3 linked regions of the Oryzias latipes genome follow. The protein of the gene in region 1 purifies or fractionates together with the protein of each later gene. This does not show direct contact. Links are inferred from orthologs where the notes say so. Each region holds a gene or a part of one and is shown in the gene's direction. Other genes may lie near its edges.

Region 1 (4,064 bases):
GTGCAGAAAGGGGGAGGCAGGAGGTTCCAGGAACAAGGTCTTTAATAACTAAAAAAAACAATACTACTGCAGCAAGCAGGCAAACTCGAAAACACCTGAAAACACTTGAATAGGGAAGAGCATAATATGGACCAGCCCAGGAGGAAGGGAAAGACAGGACTTAAATACATACAGACAAACGAGACACAGGTGACAACAATGAGGGCGGATGGGAACCAAAAGTAGAACTCGAGTACAACACAAAACAGGAAACCCCACAAAACAAAACAGGAAGTGAACTCAAAACATGACAGAACAAAAAAGAGGACCAAAACTCAAAAGCAAAGAAACTAAAACTGTAACATGATGTTAAGGTCAAAATGAGCACTCCATGCAAGGTTTACTCTACTTATTTACTGTAAATGTTTAACTGTTACATACACTTCACATCTATAGATAACTGGGTATTATTATTATGTGCATTAAAAAAAAAAAAAAAACTATAAATGAAAAAAATACCTGATACATTTTCATTGCTTAAATGCTATCTGTATTTAAAATACCTGCAAGAGTTTATTAGTTTAAAGCAATATTTTAATGCAATTGAAAGCTTGTGTGATCTGTTATGCAAATAACAATTCAACACAATATATCATTTGTAAATGTGTTTACTTCAGAATAGCATTTGGACACCATAACCATACAAGGCCAGAAAAGTCATCAAGAAAATGTGGAATCTTTTATCGCCCTCTTTTGGATGTATTAGGAATTGCAGAAGTTGACACAATTATTTTGAATCACCGACAATTTTAATATGTTTATGAGAATCGCCATCAATCAGCATTACAGTCTCACCGGTGGTGATAAACAGATGGAAATCAAGTATTCACCACTTTAAAGGGGAAGCTTCTTTCTAAGAGCAAAAAAAGGTAAAAAATAAATAAAATAAAATAAAATAAAGAAAAGATGCTTACCTACCAGGCTAGTTAGAAACTCACCAATTTGTATTCCTTTCTCTGGGTGGATTTTATGCGACGGTTTTTTCCCCCCCACAGTGCATAAACATAAAACAATGTTATTTTTGTCAGGAGGGACAGTTTTTGCCTATCGTATGTTAGTCTGTTTTGAAAACGCTGAAACAGTCTTTTAAAATGGTGACATTTTTTTAAAAGGTATTACAAGACAAAATTTTATTTTAAAAGTCCCCATTTTAACCGAGCGGCAAAAACTTCTCCCGTTTATATAATTTCATCGATCGACTTTTCGAACTCGATTGTTAAGGCTGAATCTTTAACGCTGTGCTGCTACTCATGCCTACGTTGTTTACAACCTCCAAACATGGCCGTTGTTTAACTTAACTTACTTATGACGGAGAGCAATCAGTAGCCAAGGAAACGCTTACATTGAAATGTATTAACATTATAAACGAATCGCTCTGCATATTTCTACTCGTGCACGGATTTTTTTTCCCCCGCTTCTCGTTGGTTCAGTTTAATCGATTTTAGCCAGGCTATTTCTTTAGCTAGTTGTTTAGCTTGCTAACTTGTCCAGAACCATGACAGCGACCTCTGAAGGTAGCAGTGGCTGTAATGCTGCGAAAGGACTGGACATAAGTCTCGCTGCTCTGCAGCGACAAGACCCATATATAAATAATATTGTCGATGTGGCCAGCCAAGTCGCTCTGTATACATATAACAACAGAACAAATGAGTGGGTACGTTTTTTCCTGACAAATGCTATTCTGTGCTAACTTAGCTTAGCTTCAAATTACAGCGTTTTCGTTCTAGTATTACTGAGTTAAGTTAAAAGTGATTGCTTTGAAGTTGATTTTTGAAAACAAAAACAAAATTGAAGTTATAGATCATTTTTTAACTACTAGTATAGAGTTTTACCACATCACGAGACTACACACTAATTTACTCAAGCACACTGGTACAATTTCCATCCTCATACTTTGTACTGCTTTATTTAGCTTTGTTTACAAAGTAGCAACCTAGGATGTTTAATAAAAAACAGAATTAAAATACACATTTGTCCCCCACTTTTTTTGACGTGATTGTTGTTACTTTTCAGGAGAAGACGGAAGTTGAAGGCACTCTTTTTATTTACACAAGGTAAAGAAAAGACCTAAAGTCTGTGATTAGGGTTTATTTGAGGTCATCCATTGCATTCAATTATTTTATTTTTATTTTAATATCAATTAGGGAGATAATGTACCACTGTGTGTAATACCTTGTTTTTTCCTGAGTTTTGATAGTTATTATTTTTGTCATTTTGCATGCTGTTTTAATTCAGATTGGCATCTCCAAGACACGGATTTACCATTATGAACCGTCTCAGCATGGACAATCTGACAGAGCCGATCACAAAAGACTTGGACTTTCAGCTTCAGGACCCTTTCCTGCTTTATCGCAACGCACGATGTAAGTCAGAATATATAAAAATAGCCCACAGATTTCCAGTTTCTGTCCTATTCTTTCAGCGTTTGCTGTGCATGACAGTCTTAAATACAATGCAAGCTGCTGCATTACATATTTTAGTTATTGCTGTGACCCTCTTCCTCTGGAGTTTATTGCATAAACAGATGCATATTATTAAAATCCTAATATATGAATAATAATAGCAATTAATTAATGGTTGTTTACATGTGTTTCAGTATATTTATTTTCTTAGCATAGGTCAGTTCGGGCCCACATAACCAAAGATCATAGTTAGATTTTTATGGGTTTTTTTTATGGACCTAAAATGTTTTACTAAGCCATAATTACTATGTTTATTTCTTTTGAATAGCACACAAAAGTGCAGGGTATTAGAAATGCTAAAAGAATGACATATCTTCAAAAAAAATGTTGTTGCGTCAAACGCAGCCGTATTTTTATGACTAAAACATTATTTTGACATCAAATAAGATAGGAAGGACCACGTTAGTGACTGGTGGATGAATCGGTGACTCCATTTAAGGTGTTTCAGCAGAGTTATTTCAGTTTGTTTTATCACCAACTCTCTGAGACCTGCATCGGGCGCTCTCACACACAATCACATTCTAAAGTGTGCCTGTGGGACAAGAGTCTGACAGCACCACAAAAGCAGCCAGCTGAGATTAGATACACTTCCACAGTCACTGATAATCTAAACACACGCTAGCTTAGAAGTAGCTGACGAGCACAGAGAAGGCTCCTGTCGTCTTGGCCTCCCCGTCATATACAATGACATGCAGCCGGATCTTTGTACTGAAAGAAATTGTTTGGTTTATTCATTTTTGTTATTTTACATTTACTTGGAACATGGTGAAACAGAAAGCACAATATTTAGACTTTCTATTCAGAAGCTAACAAACACAAAATAGCCGGTTTGCGGTAGGAGCATCTGCAACAAGGAACAGATTTGAACCGACTCGCTTGTGGGAAGCACGAAGCGTAAAAACACTTGAAACCAGTAATCAGGTTACAGCTGATTAGTGTGTCTGCTGTTACAATGAACAGATTAGATTGGTTTATGTAAGTAAATGAATGGTGGGTTCAAAGCAAACGTTATGGTCAAGCATAATGTTAGTTTGCTCTGATTGCTCTGGTTTAAGATGAATAATAAAAGAGCTCAAAAGTAGACATGAGTAATGGTTGTTATCAGACTGATTTTTATCAGTGTGTCTCCTAGGATTTAGAGGAACTGTTTGGCTTCAAAGAGACTCTTTGCGTTTGTAGATGTGACACTGTAGAACCAAATTTACAGAGCGGCCATAAGCTAATGTACATAAGAGGATAAAAAGAAAGATCAAGTGAGACCCATCAAAAGTAATACCCCCTACCCTATAATAGCTGCTCAAACTAATGTTTACCAAATTTCTACATAGATGACATAACGAAAGAACACTTTTAGTAGACAGAAAACGTGGTTTTATTGGAGAAAATGTGATTTATAGCTTGCTGGCATTAGTGTGCCAGTGCATTGTGACCTCTTGGTGGAGGGGTCGTGGAATCTTATCATTAGATAAACATGTCGGCCTAAGTGCTGCCGCAACTTCCTGGAACGGTGGTTGGCACAAAGTGGCAGCCCGGGCTAAAAATGAACTGCGTGGATAGGTCACA
Region 2 (4,010 bases), on another chromosome or scaffold:
AACTTGATCTTTAAATAAGAGTCACATCATTTTCTGCAGTGCGAGACCTGGATGCTTGACCACATTCAGAGTTTGATGTTTGGTGCTGTACGGAGCATCTGAGAACAAGTTCACGTAAATAAAACTTGATCCAGAAATTACATTCAAGTTTAGAACAAACTAAAAAATTGCTCTAAAACACTTACTATTTCCCCAAGCAGGACTACATTTTCTCCCCTGACGATGAAGATACCTCTGGGAATATCTCCAAATTTCTTTCCCACGTGGATACGCTCCACCGTCTGATGAAAGACTAAATTGGCTGTGGAACAAAAAAAAAAAAAAAAGAAAGAAACAAACAAATTTAGGACTATTGAAACACCGCGTAATCATATAAAAATAAAAAAATAAACCCGCATGGAAGAGTTTAGAAGATTCTCATTTTTTATTACCAAACTGATCGATGCTTCTCAGGTAACCGATTAGTGTTCTGCCATCTCGCAGCAGGACCAAGTGCTTTTCTGCGAAATTAAAAACATTTAAAAAAAATCTGCGTCCACACGGCACACGCTAATACATTGTGTCGTTTGTTTATGATTAAAAAAAGCAATTTCTATAAGGCCCAACTTACTGTCAATATCGTCAATGAGACTGGCCGTCCCTGGTACGTAATTCATGTTTAGTTGCAGTTTTCACGCGTTTAGTTGATTTCTGAACCATCAAGCCATGAATGTTTTTACCCGTTTCTATTTGACGGTGCACAGGAAGTGCTTTTATACACTTCCTGTAAACATTTAACCCCTTCCGCACCGTAATTGCGCATAGCTCGAATTTTCTAAAAATAACTGTGTAAAAATGATTTAAACAAAAGTATCATACATTTTATGATACAAAAAGAATTTTCTATAAAACATGTTTGGATTAAATGTCCCCATTTGATGATGGATGGTAACCCTTCCAACGCATGTGCCACATCAAAGATCGTAAATGAAAATTTTGAAAAGTTGCGTCACATGTTTAAAAAATACAACTGCTACAGGAGTAATTCAATAGTTGGTCTTAGCAGTAAAATATATTGAAAATAAATATCTTTAATTAAAAATATTCTAATTGTGTTCCCCGTTTCTGCGTTTTGCAATTGTAAGGTTTCATCCAGCAATTTCGATCAGAAAGTTTTAGAGAGTGACTCCTCTTTACTTGTAATGGTTCTACTCGACTTAAAGACGCAGTACCATGTCTCCAGAGTTCCGCGTCATTTATTCATTTCTTGGTTGCAATCAGGCGATCCTGACTTCTGCGGGGAAGCTGCTGCTTTGATCAGCTGTCAGATTTCTAGCGGAACCGTAAACTAGTGATAGTCTTGCTTATTTTGGAAGATGGCAAAATACGTGTAACTGATGCAGAAACCCCAAATGCAGCCAAACGGGAAAACTGGCTGGCCCTCTACTAACTCGGGAAATAGTCACGGAAGCTGCAGTAACACTATGGTAAGCGAGCAGATTAATTAAAAAAAACTTTACTGGGGGGAGGGGGTGACAGATCATATTGTGCTTTAAAGAAACAAAGATTAATTTAAAATCTCCCAACAATAAAATCCGTTTGTTCGTTCGTGCAGAAGTTCTTCGCAATGTTCATCATGCTAGCTTCATAGCTAATATAGCTAGCGGGCATTATGTAATAGTTACTGCTAGCTTATTAGTTAAGTCCTTGTTTTTAAATTACATTGACTCGAAAATATCGATTTAACACAACACTTCTGCACGTTAGGAGATCGTAGCGATCATATAGAGTTTCATGAGTTAATCATTGGTTTAGCTCAAATTATTTCATTCATTTAAACACAAGTTAACATCCATTTATTTAGTTTTCTAGAAAGACACGAGTATATGTTTATCAATGCGTTTATCATTTAAGTTTCTCAGCATCAAGTTCTCCATATCTCTATTTGAGATTTAGGATAGCTACACAAAATGGGTTGGATCACATAAAGTGAGTCGCTGTCTCGTGTCAACTTGCCTTTTACAGGATGCTCCTCAGTATCCAAGTTACCCTCCACAATACTGGTATCCGCAGTCCCACTCCACAGGGCCCTACGCAAATGCCTATCCTTCAGCGTCAGATCTGCATCCGCAGTACAATCCACAGGTACATCTCACTATACGAGCCATTCCTTTCCTTCAACATTTTAATATATTGCTCACTGTTTTGATTCTCATCAATTTCCTCATCTTTCTTTTGCACAAACACTCATAGTTGTGGTATCAAAAGTGCTGTTTTCACAGAGTGGTCAATTTCCTCTCAGGCTTGTCCCTGTTTTTCTTTTTTTACTTATTTTTTATTTTTAGGTAATGCCAGGAGGATATCCGAACGGCCATGGAGCGTACAACCATGCACAGAGTCCGTACCCGGCAAGTAGCTTCCACCCATCCAACCCCTTCTACTGTGCTGATCCAAGGAGAGCAAGTCCAAGTTCCTATCCGCACCAAGGCTGTCCGGCAGATCAAAGCAGCGAGCCGCCTCACGCTCAGCATCATCATTACACTGGTCCACACTGTCAAGGGGTGAGTTTATTTACGCATTAATGAGACACTCACATTACTTACAAAATACTTAAATAGAAGCAAAAGGTTCTTGGTTTAATATTTCAGTCTTTTTACTTATTATTATTTATATGAGTTTGCTAAAACAATCTTATGGAAGCTTGACGTATTTAAGGAATCAAACAAATCATTTTATGCATTTGACCAATCGGATGGACGCCTTCACATTGTTGACCAATCGGATGGTGCCCTTTTATGCTAGACGAGGGTTTACTTTAAAAAAAAAAATTTAAACCGTTGCAGTGAAATGGAAATGATGTTTTTGGTTGTTTTGGTGTGTTCACGTATCACCGCAAGTTATATCGTCATCGCAATATTGATCATCAATATCGCATATCACAAGTTTTCCTTATATCGAGCAGCCCAAATGTGTTTAGAAAGCACCAAAATGAGACATCCATTTCTTGTAATGTTACATTTTTGAGAATAAACATGTTTGTCTTGTTTGTGCTCTCAGGGTCCTGGATATCCTCCTGGATCATACCCACACTACAGTGAAGGTGGACATGCAATTCACTCGAATTCTCCTTACCCAACCGGCCAGGCTCTTCATCCTAATTCCCAGGCTGAAGCATGGGGACACCCCAGCCAGTATGCCCACTCACAGCAACAGTGGCAGGGAGGTCAGCAACCTCCCCAAAATCATTACGGGAATCCCGTCCGTCCACCTCATCCTCCAGCGTGGCCAGGAACCGGGACTGGTGCCCCACCACCCTATCAGCCCAAAGTAAGGCTCTGCAGCTGACGTGCATTGTGTAACAATTATTCAAGAGTCCGTAAGGAGATAAAAGCAAATATGTCTATCTTGTGTTGTTTCAGGATCAGCATCACCAACGCCCTCTGCAGGTGGGGCCTAAACCCAGGCCAACACCACCCCCTAATGGAAAGCCTGCTGAAATAACTTCTCCTCCACAAATCTACAACAAAACAGGGAGAGGTGATACTAACACCTCACAGGCTGAGCCCCCCCCATCAGCCCCAACCCAAGCTCCTGCACCGCCCGCAGGTCAGACCAGACAGCTGCCCTTGAGTGATAATCCAGGCCTTGCCAAGGTTCAGCATGTGATGACCAGAGTTCAGCTACTTCAGGAAGATGTTGACGAGTTTGTAGGCAAAAAGACAGACAAGAGCTACCGCTGTCTTGAGGAACTTCTGACCAAAGAGCTGTTAGAGCTGGACTCCGTGGAGACTCAGGGACAGGACAATGTTCGACAAGCACGGAAAGAAGCCGTGCAGAGAATTCAGGCCATACTTGACCAACTAGAGAAGAAAGCCTTCTGAAGCGGGCTCAATTAACTTGCTTGTGGACCACCAAGTTTTCTTATGTTCTCTAAGATCTTCCTTGACAAAAGTCCTGCTCTGCAGAACTATAACAATGTTCTTTTTTCTACCTTAAAAACATTATATGAAGAAATTACAGACCGAAGGAAG
Region 3 (4,311 bases), on another chromosome or scaffold:
GTGATGAAGATTTAACGATTCCTAATTTCAGTCACTTTTTTCTTAGATTCTTCAACCAAACAATTAGCACTGTAACACCAAATTAATGTATTTTGTTTAATATAGCAAAAAGAAAAAATTTAAAAGATACAGTATTGTGGAAAAAATTGACATTTTGTTCCAATTTCAAAGATTATGCGATTGTATCTTTAAATGATTTGAAGTGGTAAAACTATTTTGATTCGTGAAAAAAAGTGAAAAGGGCTTTCACTTTGTAATTTTCAAAAAGAAAAATACAAAGTTTCTTATCTTTTGTAGTAAAGTGGTTGTAAATGTTAATAAAATCATTTTTATTCCAATTCATTAAAAAGTGAAGATGGGTTGTAGAAGTGTTGTTGCATGTGTTAATATGTATTATTACAAACAAACAGACCAATATATTTTCCTTTAGGGCACAAGACTCAAAAAAAGAAAAGAAAATTGAAGAGGAATTTATTTACTTTCTTTCTCTGTCAGCAATGCAACATTGAACACATCACCCCCCTCTCGACTGGTACTTTTCCCCCCCAAATTTCTCAGGTTTCAGAGCTTAAGGTTCATTTTCCTTTTATACAAATATTTTTTTCTTATTAAACATTGTATTAATAACTGTTCATTCATTCATCTTCTAATCTGTTTTCCAGGGTCACAGGGCTGCTGGAGCCTGTCCCAGCCATTTGTGGGCAAAAGCGACACCCTGGACAGTTTGCCAGTCTGTGGCAGGGCCACAATCACACACCCATGCACCAATGCACTCTCACATTCACACCTAGGGGCAATTTAGACTAACCAATTAACCTATGAAGCATGTTTTTGGACAGTGGGAGGAAGCTGGAGAGAACATGCAAACTCCACAGAAAGACCCCCCCCCATTGATGTTCTGTTTCAGTATCCCCAGCTGAGACTTGAACCAGGGGCCTTCTTGCTGGGAGGCAAGAGCGCTAACCACTGCTCCACTGTGCAGCCCACTAATTAATAACTAATTATTATTAAAAAATATGAATATATTAATCATAATCTCAACTTTTTCTTAAAAAATAAAATTAAAAAATCACATTAAGGAGTGAATATAAATGCTTATTTTCACATTTCATTCATTAGTATGCATTAATGTCTTAATTGCTATTGTTTTATTTGTGATCATGTTTGAGCTTTTAATTGTAGGTCATCGTGTTCAATTGTGGTCATTGTAAGACAGCACCAAAATAAAAATCTGCCACATTTGATATAATATTTATGCACTTCCTAAAGGAGCAAATCAGGCAGACAGTGCCAGCTTGAGTGGTCTGTTTTATCTCAACTGCACAGTATAATGTGGTTTGTAGAAATACATTTATGATGTGGATAAAATAATCTGTTCTTTTTTTTGGGAGGGGGGGGGGCAATGATCTTATATGAGAGTTAAAGTCCGTTTTCCTTTAGTTTGCTTAGTTGTGGAAAGCACGAAGAAGCCTGTAAATTTGAAAGTAGGAACCAGGAAGCATTGACTTGACCCTGTAACCAGTCGGAACATCTACGGAGAGGACCAAACGGAAGTTTAGACGGTTGCTGTGGGTGAAGGGACAGCTTCGCTGTAGACGAAAATTTAAAATTCTCCCCTTCAATTTACCCAGTCTTCCCCTTTCCCTCGCCCATGTCGTCCAGCTCTAATATAGACATCGAGGGTGCGACCCAGCACCTCCGGGATATCCTCAAGCTCGACCGTTCGGGAAACGGCGCCGGTAAGTCGCACCGGGAACGAAAAGTCGCTGCGCTGCCAGTTAGGCCGCTAAGCTAGCAGGCTGCTAGCTTGCTACATTAGTAACACCCGTTTCGGCGTGAAAACGTCCCCTGATAGATTTTATACACATTTGTAGGAAAAAGGCAAACTATAGAAGACAGTTTAAACGTCGAAGAGTTTCCACTCACACTTGTCGTGTTTGAGTAGTTTGTTTGTGGCGCTGCGACTGCTTCGACCTCACCGACATAGCTCGGTTAGCTTAAGGCTCATTCCATCTATGGAAAAACTATAGAAAAGCAGATAAAGTGATACAGGAACTAACTTCAAGCTCTATATTAGTTCTTAAATCGAGTCACCATATTTGGAAGGTTTTCCCATTTTACATGATATACGAAGTCTAAAAATAAGCAGTAAACACTACAGGTAAGCAGCCAGGACTTCAAATATAATTATCGTGCGAAATATTTGTCACAGCATTTTTTATGTTACCCCAAAGTACACCAATCACCCAGAAAATTAACAGTCCCATATAATTGTATCACGCTTGTATGTCTGGTATGTTTTCGGGAAGCACACAACAAATGCTTTGTTTTTAAGGAGGAAAATTTTCAAGTGCGATTCTAGGGCTAAACGTGTATATGGATGGTTTTTAGAAATGTGTATTTTCGTGGCCTTGATGATTGCAGATCGAAGCATTAAGTTGTTAATGCTGAGAGAATTTTGAACATATTTCTATGTTTGTTATTTTTTTTTTTTTTTTTTTTTTTTACAGTTCTTGGTCATTTTTAAGTTTTTCAATTGTCTTGAAGTTTTTTTCTTAATATCAAATACCAAATATTTCTGACACGTGCCTGCTTGCACGGGGAATAATGTGTATTTTTTTGTTTAAACATATCAAATGATCTCAAAATAAATCAAACTTTTATTTTGGGATGATCTGGTTTGATTTGGACACGTAAATACTTTTTAAAAAATTGACTTGATTATCACTGGACTAAGAAAATGGATTTGCTGTGTTGTTTGTCTTTTGTGGTCCAGCTACAAGAAAATTGCAAGTGTAAAAGAATAAGCTTCATTTGGTCAAAATACGTTATTATAGTTAATTAAATCAAATGACTTATATCGACTCATTCTGGACTGAATTTCCTTTTAGAGTAAATTATTGGTTTTTGTTCGTTTAAGGTTTGCTTTAAATCAAACTGAATAGAAGAATCAAATGGGTTTGCATTTATTTTAAACTTACTTTTGGGTTATCTTTTTTTCATTTTTTTTGTACTGCTTTGTACACGTTTATTAATACAGTATAAATAAAATGATTTTCATGAGATGAAAATATTAGAAAATGGAAAGCGTCCACGTAACCCCTGAAATGATTCCTCCATGTAATGTAATTGATGGTCAGTTTAAAGTCAGTATCATACTGTTTGTTCTTTTCAGTTAACTAAAAATGTTTTGAAGTAACCCAATTACCATAGCAGTCTATCCTTTTCATAATAAACAGATGAACAATATTTGTGTCAAATTAAGTTATATTATTAAACTGAAATAAATAATTTAATCTTTAAGATTTAAAAGGCTTTACAGGTTAAAACACTCATCTGCTCAAAGTGATAAATGGGTATAAATATAATTAAACTGCTGGCTGTTATAAAAGCGGTGTAGTAAGAGTCCAAATGCAGTTCTATTTGCTGTCTCTCAAATGAAAAGCGCCTTCTGTTGAGGAAAGATGGCCTCCACAATACATTAAATACAGATTTTCTGTTTTAAACACTTTTAGTAGTTATTTTATCCGTTCAAAACAATTTTATCCTACACATTTAAACTAAAGATGCCACCAAATATGAAAACAAAAAAAATCAAGATCTTAAATAAATTCAGCAAGAGGGGAAAAAGTACTGCATGTTTTAACCTGCGTTATTTTAGTTTCATTATTTAAAAATAAATAAATATAAAGCCAGTTCATTTTTTTGGCAGCTGTCCTTTATATTTTTAGGAAAGTAAAAATCAACAGATTTCATCAGAAAAAATGTATTCAGAGCAAGAAATCTGTATCTAGTTTTTCAAGCTACTGTTGAGTTTGATGAGGGTTTTTTATGCTAGAAGAACCTTTTGAGCAAAAGGACACGGCAGAAACTGAGGAAACTGGCTGCGAGGAATAAATAAAAATAGGGACTCATTATGCTAAAACAGTATTGCATTTCAAAAAATCTATTCATCTAATTTGAAATAGTGTGATTTTGTTTGTTTTTCTTGTTAAAAAAGCTATTCTGATTTCTCTCCAATAATAATCTTTCTGACAATGTCTGCAATTCTCAAACTTTATTCCATAGTTATGATGGCTTGATCTTATTTTACACTTGTAAGATCAACAAACAACAGATTTGTAAGATAACAATCCTCTTTGTTTGTGTTAAATGCAGACACTTCACTGGCAGAGATGAGAACCGAGTTCTGCTTTCAGCTGTCATAAATACTGCATGAGTCGATGTCATTGATGTTCTGATTTGTTTATTTTTCATGAATTATGGGTCATAATAAACTGATAATCAACCTCCAGGTGCATCATGCCCCTT

The links.
Region 2: the proteins of dcp1b (region 1) and bag4 purify together in Homo sapiens (affinity purification with mass spectrometry; 3 studies listed by BioGRID and IntAct, counting the BioPlex papers as one, with this or other methods). This does not show direct contact. The link is inferred for Oryzias latipes from reciprocal best matches to the Homo sapiens genes DCP1B and BAG4.
Region 3: the proteins of dcp1b (region 1) and edc4 purify together in Homo sapiens (affinity purification with mass spectrometry; 3 studies listed by BioGRID and IntAct, with this or other methods). This does not show direct contact. The link is inferred for Oryzias latipes from reciprocal best matches to the Homo sapiens genes DCP1B and EDC4.

Annotation. Positions count from the first base shown.
Region 1 is NC_019881.2:14,488,776-14,492,839, reverse strand, and holds the start of dcp1b (mRNA-decapping enzyme 1B), read left to right. Parts: upstream 1-1,255; 5' UTR 1,256-1,534; coding exon 1,535-1,693; intron 1,694-2,052; coding exon 2,053-2,093; intron 2,094-2,274; coding exon 2,275-2,402; intron 2,403-4,064. UniProt on the Homo sapiens protein: May play a role in the degradation of mRNAs, both in normal mRNA turnover and in nonsense-mediated mRNA decay. May remove the 7-methyl guanine cap structure from mRNA molecules, yielding a 5'-phosphorylated mRNA fragment and 7m-GDP.
Region 2 is NC_019867.2:18,633,721-18,637,730, reverse strand, and holds the start of bag4 (BAG family molecular chaperone regulator 4), read left to right. Parts: upstream 1-1,204; 5' UTR 1,205-1,376; coding exon 1,377-1,466; intron 1,467-2,004; coding exon 2,005-2,124; intron 2,125-2,324; coding exon 2,325-2,540; intron 2,541-3,036; coding exon 3,037-3,306; intron 3,307-3,398; coding exon 3,399-3,860; 3' UTR 3,861-4,010. Other genes in the region: U6 snRNA-associated Sm-like protein LSm1, read right to left, coding at 186-301, 432-500, 611-656. UniProt on the Homo sapiens protein: Inhibits the chaperone activity of HSP70/HSC70 by promoting substrate release. Prevents constitutive TNFRSF1A signaling. Negative regulator of PRKN translocation to damaged mitochondria.
Region 3 is NC_019864.2:24,347,163-24,351,473, forward strand, and holds the start of edc4 (enhancer of mRNA-decapping protein 4), read left to right. Parts: upstream 1-1,508; 5' UTR 1,509-1,651; coding exon 1,652-1,739; intron 1,740-4,311. UniProt on the Homo sapiens protein: In the process of mRNA degradation, seems to play a role in mRNA decapping. Component of a complex containing DCP2 and DCP1A which functions in decapping of ARE-containing mRNAs. Promotes complex formation between DCP1A and DCP2.